Linked DNA regions of Medicago truncatula. The main gene of each other region encodes a partner of the protein of the gene in region 2 in a complex. Links are inferred from orthologs where the notes say so. Each region holds a gene or a part of one and is shown on either strand. Other genes may lie near its edges.

The links.
Region 1: potassium channel AKT1 (region 2) and calcineurin B-like protein 3 share a complex: the UniProt entries of both Arabidopsis thaliana proteins name them as parts of the K(+)-channel calcium-sensing kinase/phosphatase complex. The link is inferred for Medicago truncatula from reciprocal best matches to the Arabidopsis thaliana genes KT1 and CBL2.

What each region holds. Positions count from the first base shown.
Region 1 is NC_053046.1:43,347,243-43,354,648, reverse strand, and holds the start of calcineurin B-like protein 3, read right to left. Parts: upstream 3,016-7,406; 5' UTR 2,818-3,015; intron 1,972-2,817; 5' UTR 1,924-1,971; intron 1,840-1,923; 5' UTR 1,803-1,839; coding exon 1,679-1,802; intron 1,425-1,678; coding exon 1,342-1,424; intron 1,096-1,341; coding exon 1,036-1,095; intron 426-1,035; coding exon 317-425; intron 197-316; coding exon 144-196; intron 61-143; coding exon 1-60. UniProt on the Arabidopsis thaliana protein: Acts as a calcium sensor. CBL proteins interact with CIPK serine-threonine protein kinases. Binding of a CBL protein to the regulatory NAF domain of a CIPK protein lead to the activation of the kinase in a calcium-dependent manner.
Region 2 is NC_053045.1:54,796,072-54,803,777, forward strand, and holds the start of potassium channel AKT1, read right to left. Parts: upstream 3,009-7,706; 5' UTR 2,862-3,008; coding exon 2,698-2,861; intron 833-2,697; coding exon 467-832; intron 219-466; coding exon 161-218; intron 66-160; coding exon 1-65. UniProt on the Arabidopsis thaliana protein: Highly selective inward-rectifying potassium channel that mediate potassium uptake by plant roots in response to low K(+) conditions, by a calcium-, CBL-, and CIPK-dependent pathway. Positively regulated by phosphorylation by CIPK23.

The sequences.
Region 1 (7,406 bases), on a different chromosome or scaffold from region 2:
AACATCGTCTGATAGATTCATGCCAGATTCAGCAAGCGTAGCAACTACCATTTGTTTCACCTTTACATAAAAAAAAATCGAAGGTTTGTCCCAAACAAGAAGAAAAAGCTTAAGCAAAATAAGATTTAAAGAAGGCTAATCACCTCTTGTCTTTCAATAAAACCCTGCTGCTTGAGATCATACAGTTGAAAGGAAACTGAAACAAGATATTATATGGTTTAGTTTTGGTAAATTGAAAAGAAGTATTATATAGTTTTAATTTTGGTAAACTGAAAAGAAGTAAGGTGAAGTAAACCAAAGAATTGAAGTAACATACACTCAATCTTTTCATCAATAGGGGCATTTGGATGGAAAACAGAGAGGGCGCGGGCAAACTCTTCGAAACCAAGTATCCCATTGTGCTTTGTATCAAACAAATCAAATACCTACCCAGAAATAAGCTCATATGAGATATTAACAATTTGAAGCAATATACGATATGAACCAGTACATGCACATGTTGCAAGTAAGAAGGAATAGCATTTACAATGGTAATTAATATGGTATGGAAAGTGCATTTTTTTAAATGTTGAAACAAAAAAGGGAACGTGTGGGAAAACTTGTAATCAAAGGTAAATAATTTAAATAATTCAATATAAAGTTTCACAGGAGTGAGTGATCATGAAAACAAGAGAGGTAACCTACGTGGTGAAACATTAAGAATAACATGTACGAAGAAGTTATTTTAAATGTCGTATGATTCCCCCCAAAAAAAAATTGTCATATGAAGACATCGATGTTAAAAACCTCATTTCGGTTTAGCTTTGAGGTAATAAAAAAACTCATTTCAGTTTAACTTTGTGGTAATACAAAGAAGACGGGAATCAAAATTTCAGTTGTTTAGAATTAGATGAAGACAAAGTTTATTTTGTATGTCATATTAGGTTGAGATAAGACTTCGTTATTGTTGTATTTGATGGCCTTGGCCTAAAACAAAATTTCATAGTTCAGAGAAAAGTCAAACAATGATCAATAGAAAAGACAGAAATACCATACCCGATCGGCAAATAAACTCTCTTTTTTATTTGTCTTGAATAATGCCAATTGAAACTCTTCCTGCAAATGATGCATATTAATAATTAATATTGTAGGAAAAAAGTGAAAACTGAATATATCATGTCATATTTTATAATGTTATATCCTCTCTGATTGAAGAAATTAATAACATAGGTTGTCAGAAAATATAATTTATTGGTATAGAATGATTATACATGTTGTTTTGCATTGAAAAGGTTTAATCAAGAAAATTTATTATATCCACAAACGACAAACCACAAGTTGTCAGAGACGAAGCAGACAAACCTTGTTGATCAGCCCATCATCAATCACCGCACTGCTGATCTTTTTAAAGAGCTCATAAAGAGCTTCAATTTCACTTACACTAACTGCATACACAAGCAAAACAAATATCTACCATCATCTCTATCTATGTGTATTTATTTCAAATAGTAGTATGAGGTAATTGAATCCACAACTAAAAAAAGAGAGCACAATAATATCATCCACATGCTTTCAAAATCAAAAGGTAATGACATAATATACAAGATATAAGAAGCACATATTCAAATCAGAATTCATTTTTATAAGAGCAAAAGTAACAATAACCACATTATATTCATAAAGTTAGGTCGATGCATACACACTGTCTCCCTCGCAAGAATTTCAGGATCTTCAAGTCCTGTTGTCTGCTTATATAAGTCAATGTCACAACATTGCAATAGAGGAGCAAACAAATGCTTAATTCCCTCTATGCACTGCAACATGATATCTCTTGTACCTCAAAATCAAAATCCTCCATAACTGTTCCAGAAAACAAATCAATTAGATATATAATTTAGTTAATTCCTCATAAAGTCATCTTTAGCAGGCGGTTAGCAACTAAACCTTTTAACCATTTCCAATTTCAGTTGGCCAACTCCCAAATGCTAAGATCTGCAAAATTTGAAGGCACCATCAACAAAAGAGTCTAATTATAGAACTGAAGTAAAATATCAATCACAGTCTACTAAAGAAACAAAGAACGTAAAATAATCAAAACGGAAATACAAATGAACAAATGCCATGCTCTAACCAGCATCAGAACTTAACTGCAATTTACTTACTGCATGTTTAAATTCGTGGTTAAATCAATCAAAAACTACACCATGGAGCTTCCACAAAATCACAGTGCCACTATGATTTTGTCAAACTTACTGTAATTCCAAACATATTACATCAAACTAAAAGCACTCAAAAATCAAACACAACAAATTATGTATCGCGTTATTCCCATCAATGATTCCTAAGTTTGGCCAAATTCATAACAAAACCTTAATACAACAAACAAATAACCTCACTTAATTACTCGTTGTAGTGAAGTAGTTTAACCAATTCACTAAAAAATTGATACCTAATTATTCATATAACCACAACAAACAATTCAATCTCTCTCTAGCACCTAAGATCCATGATCAAACATTCAGCATCACCTAGAAAACATCTCAGAATCGCGTTAAAACCATTCAAAGATAATGAATTCAATACCCCAATATTCAAAAGATTCAAAATTTGAAAACATTCAAGGTTGTTAGATTCTGAATTCAACCCAATTCACACACCAATCCACATGCATAGAAAATTCATCGATCTATCCAAAACAGACATAAATAAACACGAAGAAACAAAAAAGACATGACATTTAAGCAAAATTCAACAACCCCAGATCAGAATTAACGATAATCATGCTCAATTATAAGATTTTTGAGGAAAATAAAAAGTGGGTATGGTGAAAAAACTTACCTTGAAGTTAAAGGATCAGTGAGAAAAAAGAGATTTTTAGAAAAGCTTAGGGAAATAGTGGTGAAGAAGGGTTGTTGTGACGGTGGTTGCAGGCGAATGAAATCGAATCGAATCGAATCGAGAGTGTGTGAAGAACGAAGATGATGATGAATGATGATGTGATGACAGATGGAGTACTATGCAACTTGGAATGAAATCAATGCTGACACATATAACATATCATATCATTATGAATTTATTGTTATTTTTGACAAATATTCTCTACAAATTTTGTTTCATTTTTCAGTTTTTTTTTTTTTTTTTTTTTTTTTTGTATATTATATACTATATAATTTAATTTTTCTTTTGACTGGATTTAATGTTTTACTGAAAAATAATAAATTTAAAATATTTTGTCAAAAAAAAAAATTTAAATATTTTTTTGGTCAAATAATATTTTTTTTGGTCAATTACCCTAGTGGCTAAAATTCATACAATTTATTGTGGAGTGTTCGGGGTTCGAACCCCGACCTTGTATATAATATGCAATATCCCTACAAACTGAGCTAAGTTCACGGGATAGTCAAATAAAATAATAACATAGCATTAAATTTTAAAAAATAACTGTGTCATTTGTAAAAAAAAAAAGTCCTACAAAAATTGACTCATTTCACTTTTCAATGCCATATTTATTGCTTTTTTCAATCATAACTCTAATTAATATTACTTTCATCTTTCTCAATTCAACATATTTTACTTTGCATTTATGATAATGGAAAATGACCAATACTTAAGAACACACTCAAAACTCATTTTTTTCTCTTTCACTTATACACTTTTTTTAATATGTATGAAATGAATGAAAAACTCAGTTATTATCGGATGGGGGAGTATTCAAAAGGTGAAAAGAAGTTAAAATGTGTGTGTTCAAAAGGTGTAAAGAAATTAAAATGTGTTATAATTATGATTTAGTTACCATATAATAAGGGGCAAATGCATGTCGAAGTCTACGTGGGCGTGGGCCTGGGCATATCATATTTTTCTAGAAATTTGTTAGTAGAATTTAGAGATTGCTTTTCTCTCATCTATTTTTGCTCATTTCCATTGTTAACTCACGTTGAAAAATACATTTATTTGAGTTAACTCACATTAAAAATACACATGCATGAGATAACTCACACTCGACTATTTGACGAGAATGAGCAAAATTATTACTCACTTTGTTTAAAAGTGTTGATCAAGAGTTATGATACAATTAAATTTTACGTATAAAAATAGTTAATCAGAAGCTACAACTTGTATGAAGGGTCTAACAATTTTCATTGTGTAAGCCTTCTTGTTTGTTTATTATCATCCACACTCAATAATTGATCTTGATAGAATCACATCTACAACAAAACTCTTCTTCAAGAGGTTTAAGAGTTTTAATGCTTCATGTTCTTTCATTTGAATTCGATTTTATGACATTTAATTAAATTAAAAAAGACTCGAATAATCTGATCCAAACGTTCTCGAGTTATGTATGATATATATTTGCATCTTGACGATGCTAGTAACAGGTGCATTACATATAGTAGAAGAAACAACACAAAACATATGCAACATAACAGCAGATATTTGGTTCTCATTATTTAAAAGCACGTACTTTTCTCTCTTTCTTTTTAAACATGTACATCTTATAAAATTTTATAAATTTCATTCAGTATTTTATTTCCTTTTGATGTTAAGATATTTCATATATTATGTTAATAAAACATTCAATTTTTTCTGAGAGGAAACAAATAAGAAAATTATTAAGCACATAATTTATAACATTTAATCTTTTTTTGGGTACAAATGATATTTGATTTGATCTTTTAGGATTTATTTTCTCATTATATTTTCGGTTAAATTGTTGCAAGTTTTTTTTTTTTTGGAGGAATGTTGTAAGTTTTCTTCTGTTGGAGAAGTTTAAAAATAAGAAATAAATAAGTTAGGTAATATTTGCCCTTATATATAAATATATAAATTGGAAAAATACAAAAAGAAACAAATATTTTCCAACTAACCTATGACCTACAATGCAGTATGAAGTTGATGATGAACAAAAGAAATAAAAGTTGTTAGTGAACTGATTGGGGGACCATTTCTGATATATAGTTTTTCTTCTTTAGAGTAGCTTAATTTTAAATAAGATACCTTAATAATTATAATGGATAGGTCATTGCACCAAAAGTCCAGGAGTTGGAAAGTGACTAATAGGGGAGGCTATCTAGGCATACAACTATACAAGCCAATTTGTTTTTCAATAAAAATAAATGAGATTTTTTTTTAGGAAACCACTTTAATCAAGGTCTTTGGCACTCTTGGCTTGACAAAGTAAGTATTCTCACAATCTTCGGTCTTTTAAATTAGCTATGTGATTAATCTTTGTTCGGATGCTTCGATTGTGGATTGAAGATCTTTACCACTTTTTAAAATACATGTTACATGTAGGTTGAATTTTAGTCCTCTTCACAAGCTCAGCGTTGCTTAACCAACCGAGCCACACCAATTAATTATGTAAATGAGATTTGAACATTAAATGTATTTTTTTAAATAAACAAAAATTAATGCAAAAATATCACTATAATACTAGACCTTTTTTTTATTATTATCTATAATTAGACAGGCCAACCCTATTCCTATAGAAATTTTCCCTTGACAAGCTAAACCCTCCCTATGTTGGTTTTACTTTAGCAAATAAATAAATTCTAAATGAGATTTATATAAAAATTTGCACAAGCCCAAACCGACCTTGTTAACTTTATCATCATTGTCATTATACTATACAAGTATATATGACAATGGCTTCACAAAAAAAGAAGTATGACAATGATAATCTACTTTTATAAGTTTATTCAAATTAAAGTAAAACATGTCTCAGAGCAATGTAATGTGAAAATAATTGGTCAAAATTAAAAACCAAAAGAGTACCAAATAGTACAAAATTTATTATTGAGGTTACAAATATAATATTTACTTCATTTTTCCAATACAGAAATCTTATCCCACAATATTCAAATACAGTGAAAAAAATAATGCTTAGGCATTATTTGAAAAGTTAAGCACTTGTTAGGTAGGTATTTTTGGTTACTGGTGAGCTATTCTGTACATATACAAACTCACTCAAGTAACCATGTTAAGTATACTAGACCAAAATTTAAAATGAGAAAAAAAATCTTGACAATATCAAGAGTATACAGATATATGAGTATATGACCAAATCAATTTAGTCATGTGAGTATGATTGATTGTTGTCTCAGCTACTTCTTCTATCTTTCTAATCCTTGTTTGCAAAGTGGGCAGCATGATATAATTTTTAGCCATTGGTCCACACATTCTAGGTGGAACACATGAGAACATGGTAATTGTCTAACTTCTTCTTTATCTTTGTACTTTGCTAAACAAATGCAACATTCCTGTCAACCACATCACAACATGCCAAACTTATTTAATTCAATAATCAATAGATCCCAAATTGTAGGAAATAAAATAATGTTTCTATTTTTGTCTCATTTGAATTTTTTAGTAGCATCCCTCATTCTATAGTTATTTTGTAGAAAATATTATGATATGATAGGATGAAATATGATCAAATATTTTGTGTAAAACTTGTTTACATTGTGAGTTAGTTACTTACCGGATCTTCATTGATGAATTTTTCAATGCTTTCAGAGTCATTGCCAAGTTCTAACTTGGTAGCATGAGGTTCTTTATGTCTCCAACTTGGAAGTTGTGAAATTTGTTCATCAGATGCTCCTTTATTAGAAGAGGCTATGTTCATGTTGTAACCAAGGAGGGTACTAATCAGTGGCACACAACAACATAACAGTAGAAAAAGTAGGAAAGGGAAAGAGTAGCAGATTGCATTCCAAGTAAGCAAGGTGATACATAGGACATGAAGTTTTGGAGCTTGTTGAAATGAACCAAATCGCGAGTCGAAAACCCAAACATTTCCCATCACAAACCATATGGCAAAGAAAAACTCCAGTGATGTCCTGCATTTGTTCATCAAGTGTGACATCCTGTATACACTGACATCGTATAGTCCAAATTAACATTAATTTTCAAATTTCACCCTAGAAACAATTTGTTGGGTTTGACTCGTAGTTTAATTATACATGGATATGTCACACGTGTGGTCCGTGCATGATCAAATATCGTGTGTTCGCTGTTCTAACACAATTGCACAACTATAAATATAACTTGTTCTCTAATTTAACTTGTAACACACAAACAGGTTTCACAATTTATTTTTTAATCCCAATTTGGTGCCAAGTATTAATGTTTCTTTTGTTGGCACTAACTTTTCAAAAGAAAAAGTTGGTAATACTTCCATCTTAGGCTTTTCATTTTTCACATGATTTATTCTAAATTAGATTGGAAAGATTGCAAGCACAAGATTCTTGTCTGTCACAAAAGTAAACTCCTTGAACAGATAAGAATAGAAAAGGTATGCTAGAGTATTTGATCTTCCAAGCTCTATTTATGAGATAAATTACAATACCTTTATAATTACTTGATACTTAGTATTTTTCTATCTTTAGCAATTCAATTGGTCTTGTCTAAATATCATAGTCAATTCAAGG
Region 2 (7,706 bases):
TCATGATAACGCGCGGCAAGAAGATAATAAAAGCATCCAGCACAGTGCACAGCAAATAGAGTAACCTATGAAAATCATTCAGATTATTAGTCCATCTCATTTACATCTAATTTATCTTCCTTCTTAAAAGGTTACAAACACAATATATTCAAAAACTTACACAAATAAGCTTTGCACACCGAACCCAAAAATAGTTATAGTTTCTGTCCTTCTCAAGCCTAGGATCAAAGAAACAACATTTACGGTCATAAACTACACAAAAAGGAAACAAAATATATACATGATTTTATGGGAGTAAATGCATGTTAAGATGAGCAACGAGATTGAAAAATCTAGTGAGCCACCGTGATTTTGCAAAGCTACAAAGTGTAGCTTTTGTGGAAAATTTGTGACTGGCTCACTGCTTTTTATCAATCTCATCGCTCATCCAAACATATGCACCAAAGCTATCAAGTTTCAATCTTACCGAGAAAACATAGCGCTAACTCTACGAAGACGCCAAAGCCTAAGCATGTTGAATAGGCCATAGGTTTGCATAGGAGCAGGTGATATATGTGCAACAAGCTCAGAAGGAATGATGGAAATAAGATCAAGTACAAACCAAGTTTTTGCATATTTCCAAGCAATCTGTTTCGGGTTATCTACGAACAAATAGGTAGTTTTGTCTATATAAGCCACAAAGAAAGTGAGAACTATATCTATAGCAAAGAATCCATTGACAATATTATCAGTAACAGAAAGGGGTTTTTGTGGTTTCTTAAGGAATCCAAATTCAAATGGAGATACCCATGCAGTATACACAACCAATGTAACAAGGAAAGTTTCCCATATCCTGCAAAAGCCAAAAAGTTTTAATTACTTAATAGTCTTAGAAAACTCTAAATTTCAAATGCAGCAGTTATTTATGTTCAATAAGATGAGAAGTAGGGATGTCAATGAGACGGGTGCTGGCGGGAGTACTCCCGCCATCCAAAATGCTCATCAACTCCATTCCCCGCCTTGGGGAGTATTCTCCTCCTAAATCTCCGTCTCCGCCCCATGATCAATATTTAAAAATAATCAAATTTATATAATATTCAATTAAATTGGTAGAAAAAATATTTAAATTTTAATCATAAAAAATTTAAAATTAAGACATTATTGCGAGTTTTGCGACAACAATAAATATTTTCCCAAATCACCTAGTGGGACTTTCTCCCCCATCCAATTCGTGTGGGGGAAAACTTCCCGCCAGCGAGACCCCAAATGGGGCCCCCGCTGTTGGGACGGGGAGTTTTAAAAAACTTTGCTAATTGATTACGTTGAATTAAAAGCAATCATACAAGTGAATTTAAAAAGAGAAATGATATTTGTACAACCATTTTGTACAACTTTCTCTCTCATACTCACATTATGTTTTTATTCTATCTCTACATTTTTCTCTCTCCATTGTTTTTGACCAATGAAAAAACAAAGTTGTATCAAAGGTTGTACCAAAATGGTTGTCAAAATATCACTACTCATTTAAAAATCATATTTTCATCTAAAACCTCCTTAAATCATTAGGTGCATAAGTTGTCATTATTTTAAAAATTCTTATAGTCAATGAGAGTCACAGTTGACAAATCACTCACAAACCGCACTTTAACAAATTGACATGAGAGAACATAATAAGAGAAACATAGAAAATGACTCTTTACACGAAACAGAGTAGCAGTTACAAAGGCAAGAACAAAACGGGTAATTTAGGAATTTCAGTTGAGAATCCAACATCAAATTTCTTTCGTTACAAACTCATAGCCATCATTAAAACACCACCAACTTCTTGGTTGTTTCCCATACAAGGAAAACAAAGTCAAACTTTATAGGATCACTAAAAACACGTGTAAACTTTTTGGATGTTCCTTTGAAGAGTAAAAAAAACCAAATTAAACAGAACAAAACAAACCGAATTTTTAAATGAGTTGGATAGATCTCAAAATAAGAACATTTCGAGAAAATTGAGTGATAAAATTGTTAATTAAAAAGATTAGTATAAGAAAACGAAAGATAAACAGATTTCTTTTCTGTTTTAGTATACGGCGGGGATCATTAAGAAGAGAAATTGTTGGTTTATGTTTCAAAAGGGTAACAAAACAAACAAATATGAGCATGTATTTTCGAAGAATACAAACATGAGAATACAAATGAGAGTAATTAATAAATAGTAAAAATAAAGAAAAATATTGTTAATTTATTTATAAAACAACCTTCTATGTGAGAAATCCGTGAAGATGGAATTTCTTGAATGGTTTCAAAAAATAGAATAAAAGAGAGGACCAAGAAGAAAAAATTCAATAAAATAATAACATCAAATACAAACAGAAAATGAAAGAAGTGAAACATTAACAGCTAACAATTTTCCGTCAGAAACAAAGCAACAGAAAAATCAATGTCATGTCTTTCAACTCTGTCACAAGAAAGGAAAAAAAATAAAAAAAATAATGTGAAATACTGGAAAATTTGAAGACTAATCAAGACTAATAAAGACTAATTATAAACGTTAATATCATTTATTGTGTTTCTTAAAAACAAAGTGAAATCTTAAGAAAGAAGAGAACAGTCAACAAGCGTTGGCACCTCCAACCAAGAATTGGTTAATCATATATTTACTGTCTGACACGTTTCAAATAAGATTATCAAGAACGTTGAAAGAAGAATAAACGGAGAAGGAATTACCGGTAACGGCGATCATAGGGAGATATAATGAGGGGTCTGAGTTTAACTCTCCGGTTGCTTCTGGCACCAAGAGAAGGTAATATTCCGGTTGTGAGACTATAGTGACTACCATCTCTTGATAATTCAAGTTCTTCTTGGCCACACATAGTCATTGGAAGCACCATTTTTATGTTCTAGTAACTTGTTCCTTGTATGAATCTTTTTTTCCAGTAGTTGTTAGTACACGGTTTTGATAGACATGTTTAGGCGGTTCTTGAATTGAATCTATATTTATGTCTGCGTGTGAGAGTGATGGTATGGCATACACAGTTTCTAATGTCTTTATATAGAAACATAAAGTAGTCAATTAATGCATTTGGAAATATTTCAAAGACACCTTAACAGAAAAAAGAATTAGAGAACTTTTTTTAAGGGGAAAATGAAATAAAGATAATGATATAAATATGTAATAATAAATTGATTATTTAAAAACAATGTTGAATAAATATTTAAAAATTGGCAAATTCAATGGTACACTCAAAAATTTGAGTGTACCGGTACACCAAATTGTAAAACTATTAATTAATTGAGTTTTCTTTTGAAGAAAAAAATTATTTTCTATCATTGACAATTATAATAAAGGTTCTGCTAACCGGTGCCCCCAGAGCACTGGTTAAGCATACCATAAAAGGAAACTGCTTTTGACTTTATTATAAATTAATTACACAATTTCAATGCATTAACTACTGTATAATTTTCTTTAATTTTTCATATCCTTAACCAGTGCCTCGGGGGCACCAGTTAGCATTTCCCTTATAATAATTATATCTTATTTACCAAAAGCTTCAACAAAATCAAATTTACTCTTTTTTAACTTTTTATTTCATAAAATGATCGTTAATTTATAAATTTATTGAGCAAGAGTAACAGTACACCTTCGGAACGTTCAAATATATGTTATTTATCATGGTCTCTTGTTGGCAAATAAAATTGGGGATTGAAGAGCTCGTTTTTGTGTTAACCTCCTCAAAGGCCCAACTCCCAGGTTTCATGTTTATGCCGTGTTGGTTCAAGACGTGAAGTATTTGATGGAACAAAGTAATACTATTGTTTGTCACACTCTCAGGATGGGAAATCAATGCACAAATTTTTTGGTCAAGTTTGGAGCCTCCTCATATCATGATTTGGTTCACCATGCCACCCCTTTGAATGGTCTCTTATATTCCCTAAAGATGAATGCAGTTGGGACTTTCATTCCTGAAGAGTAGTTTGTAATTGTTTATTTTCTATTTTTTTTCTTTTTTCTTTAGCATTGTAACCAGAAAAAAGAATTTCCCCTAAAAAAAATATTATTTTTAATGATTTAAATCATTTGATATCTCCTTTATTCTTGGACTTGGATCTTGTACGCTCCTAGAGAATTTTTTTTCGCTTTCTCTCAAAATCTAACAGTCTTTCCGGTTTGCATACTAGGATGGTCTCAGGGAATCCACATATCTATATTTTTATGGATTATTTTTTCAAATCATTTAGTGGTTAGAAATTCACCTTTAACATATAAGTGTAGTGACTGAAGTTCGAATTCGTCATTGCATGCATTAACAATGTTATTAAATTCACGGGTCCTTAGAAAATAATTATTCTCTTTAGACAAAGAACGATAATTCCCTAAAAAAAAGATAATAATAATTAAGTTTGATTTTATTTTCTTATGGTCTTTCAGTCTTCAAATCTATGATCCTCGTCTATGTTTGCATAAGAATATTAGATTTGAAGCTTGAAAATGTATACGAAAATGGACAAAAAGGATCAAATTGAAATGAAAAAAAGATAAAGGACGAAACTGTTACCTGAAATTAAGTTAAGAAACTAAAAGTGTAATTTATTTCTATCTCTCATTATTCATAGACCGAGAAATTTGTTTCTTTTAAAAATTAGAGAACTAAATCCATTCAATTCTTTTTGAAAAATTTGAGAAAAAATTATACCGTATTCTTATTCAAATAGAGTCCTTATTTATTTTAAAAAATAGTGGCATCTCTTAGGTCGTTCGTGCAGCTTTTTATTTATTGGGATTCATGAGTCAACGGTGCCATTAATTATTTAAATTTAAAATATTATAAATTGCTACACACATCAAACTCGAGACGAGGTCTTAAGGTCGAAGGCAATAATTACAATTTTTTATAAAGTTTTTCCTTCAATTTTTTTTTTTTTTGTTTTTTTTATAAAGTTTTATCCACCATTTCATCATATACCCTGTTCGAGGGCTGCATTATCTAATTCGTTTATAAAAAATAAATCAAACATCTAATTTGTTTATAAATAGTAAATCAAACTCAAGATTAACATATAAGATAATTCAACCCTTAAAAAAATATATATTCATATTTGGTCAAAAATATATATTGAATGAGTGAAGTCTATGGAGAGAATCCAAATCCAGAGCCATAGTAAACTTTAGGTCACTACTTATAAAAAAAAATATTGAATTGATAATCTGTACTCCATTTATGTCTAGACTTTTTTAGCCAAAATTATATATAAATGAAGACGCTAATGAGTGTAATCATATCACTATTTAAGTGTATTAAATGGTTTTCTTTTCTAGGGTAAGTGTATTAAATGGTATGTTATTATAAAGATTAGTGTTGTCGGTGTATTGAAAATTAAAGTATTTTATTTTCATTAAGAATAATTTTTTAATTTAAAAACCATAAAAGAGTTTCTGAAATACTTTCGAATGTTAGTAATTATTGTGATTCATTTGCCCTTACATTATTAGAACAAGAGTAGGAAGATATGATTTTTTTTTTTTTTTTTTATAGAGGAAGATGATTTTGATTTGTATATTTCTATTTAGACTAAAAAATTCTGATTATTACAACCATGGTTGATGTGATCCTAAAATTCTCTCTCTTGATAAGAATAATAAAGTCAGTGTGGAATAAAAGAACTAAATTAATTTTAAATTTAAAGTTTTATTTTCGTAGGTCATGATGGGTCAATATTTTACATTAATATTCAAATTAATTTGATTCTGAACCACTTATTTTGATCCGAGTTTTAAATACCACTTATTTTGATAATTGTGTCGGAGTTGAGGAGAACGTTTTACATGTGTTTCATGATTGTTCTTTGGCTAGCTTTGTTTGGAACCACTTGGTGCTTATTCAATGGAGGTTGGATTTATAGGTAAGTCAGTTTAAAGAGCGGGTTTTCAATAATTTGAATATTAATGTATTTTTTAAAGGAGAAGTTGAGCAGAGAGTTGATTAGGATAACACTTGCCACCATATCTATTTATGGAGGCATAAAGCAAATTCGATCCTGGTTTTGAAGATATGTTTGTCTCTCTTGTAAAACTCTGCAGCATGTAAATATTTACATGAGGTCTAAGACGAGTGCATGAGCTGTCTTGTAGAAATTGCAAGTCATTGTTATCAATTACTAGAGAGAAAATAGATTGGACATACATACATCAACAACGATGGTGCTTTCGTAGAAATTGAATATGATCAATGATTGTTGTGGAGTGATAAGGGATGTGGATGGGAAATAGCCGGAAGGATTTGCAAAAAATATTGCATGACGAGTGCTTAGTGTGGGCTAGAGATTTTTTTATTTTATTTTTACGTGGAGCTACATATGGACCTATTAGGAATGGTAAGGAGTCGTCTTAGTGGGGGGAGGGAGGATGTTGGAAGCGTTGGTGGTAGGAGCTTGATTAGGAAGATTCAAAACTTACTTCTAGAAAATTGGAATGTTAGAGTTCGCGATATCTATATAGAGGTGAACAAAGTACCTTTGTATTTGTGATGTAAGATTTTTACATGTGATAAACTATTTACATGTGAGTATAATAGGATCGTTTTTGTAAGGAGTTGCGTATTTCATAAGTATTTTCATAATGTTTATCACATTAAGTGTTTGAGTATAAATTGTTTGGTTGTGTAAAACTATTTTCCTATTCGACATAAAAGTAAAACGAGAAGAGATAGGACTATTTCGCTTGCGCTCAGAGACATCAATCAAGCGTAACAGCTACAATCTCTCGATCGATTAACGGATTCTAGCTTTTTAAACGATATTATCACAATCACTCGACAATATCATTCGTGTCCAAATGATATCGTTATTTCTAAGGGATCGTTTAAACATCGATTTTCCAAACATTTAAACGATCACAAAGTTGATTGGATCGTTTAATCGATGATTTCCCAACCGATTAATTGACCTAAAAGCATTAAGTTCTAGATTAAAAGTGATTATCAAATATTAACATCAATGTTTAGAGGGATAACTTAAGATAGATTGTTATTCTATTTCTAGATTTAAAAGTATGTGTCCATATCATTTCAAATCTCAATAAAACAATAAAAGCAAGAATAACAACAATATTGAATAAATAGCTAGAACCATATATTAAATTATCAAAAGATTACATAATAGCTTGTTTGAATACCTCAAAACCACAAGAGTAGATATAACTACATATGTCTATGATAGCTTTGCAAAGGATGAGGAAGAAATGAAGATTCAATGACAAGATTCATGATGTCTCAACAAATCTTGGCTTGAATCTACTCCTAACTACCTTGCTTTGTGTTTCTATCTCTAGAAAAGCCCTAGTCTCTCTCTAAAAACCAGAAAAATATCAAAGAAAATGTAAAAGAATAGTTGGAAAGAGAAGAGAAAACTATTTATATGGGCCATATTTGTGCTCGTTCGCTTAAGCAAAGCAACATTCGCTTAAGCGAACATCTAGGGAATCTTCCATTGTCCATTGAGGAGTTGCCACGTGGTCCTTATCTTCTGAAATTTGATGAACTTGGCTCAAGCGAACTGTAAGCGTACAGGAAGCGAACCATTTTGGAGCTCTCTGGAACTTGTTCGCTTAAGCGAACAATAGGTCGCTTAAACGAACTGAACTTTTCTCATGAGCGAACTGAAGGTGTGCTTGTAAGCGAACAGACTGGTTGCTCTTTGGAACTTGTTCGCTTAAGCGAACAATAGGTTGCTTAAGCGAA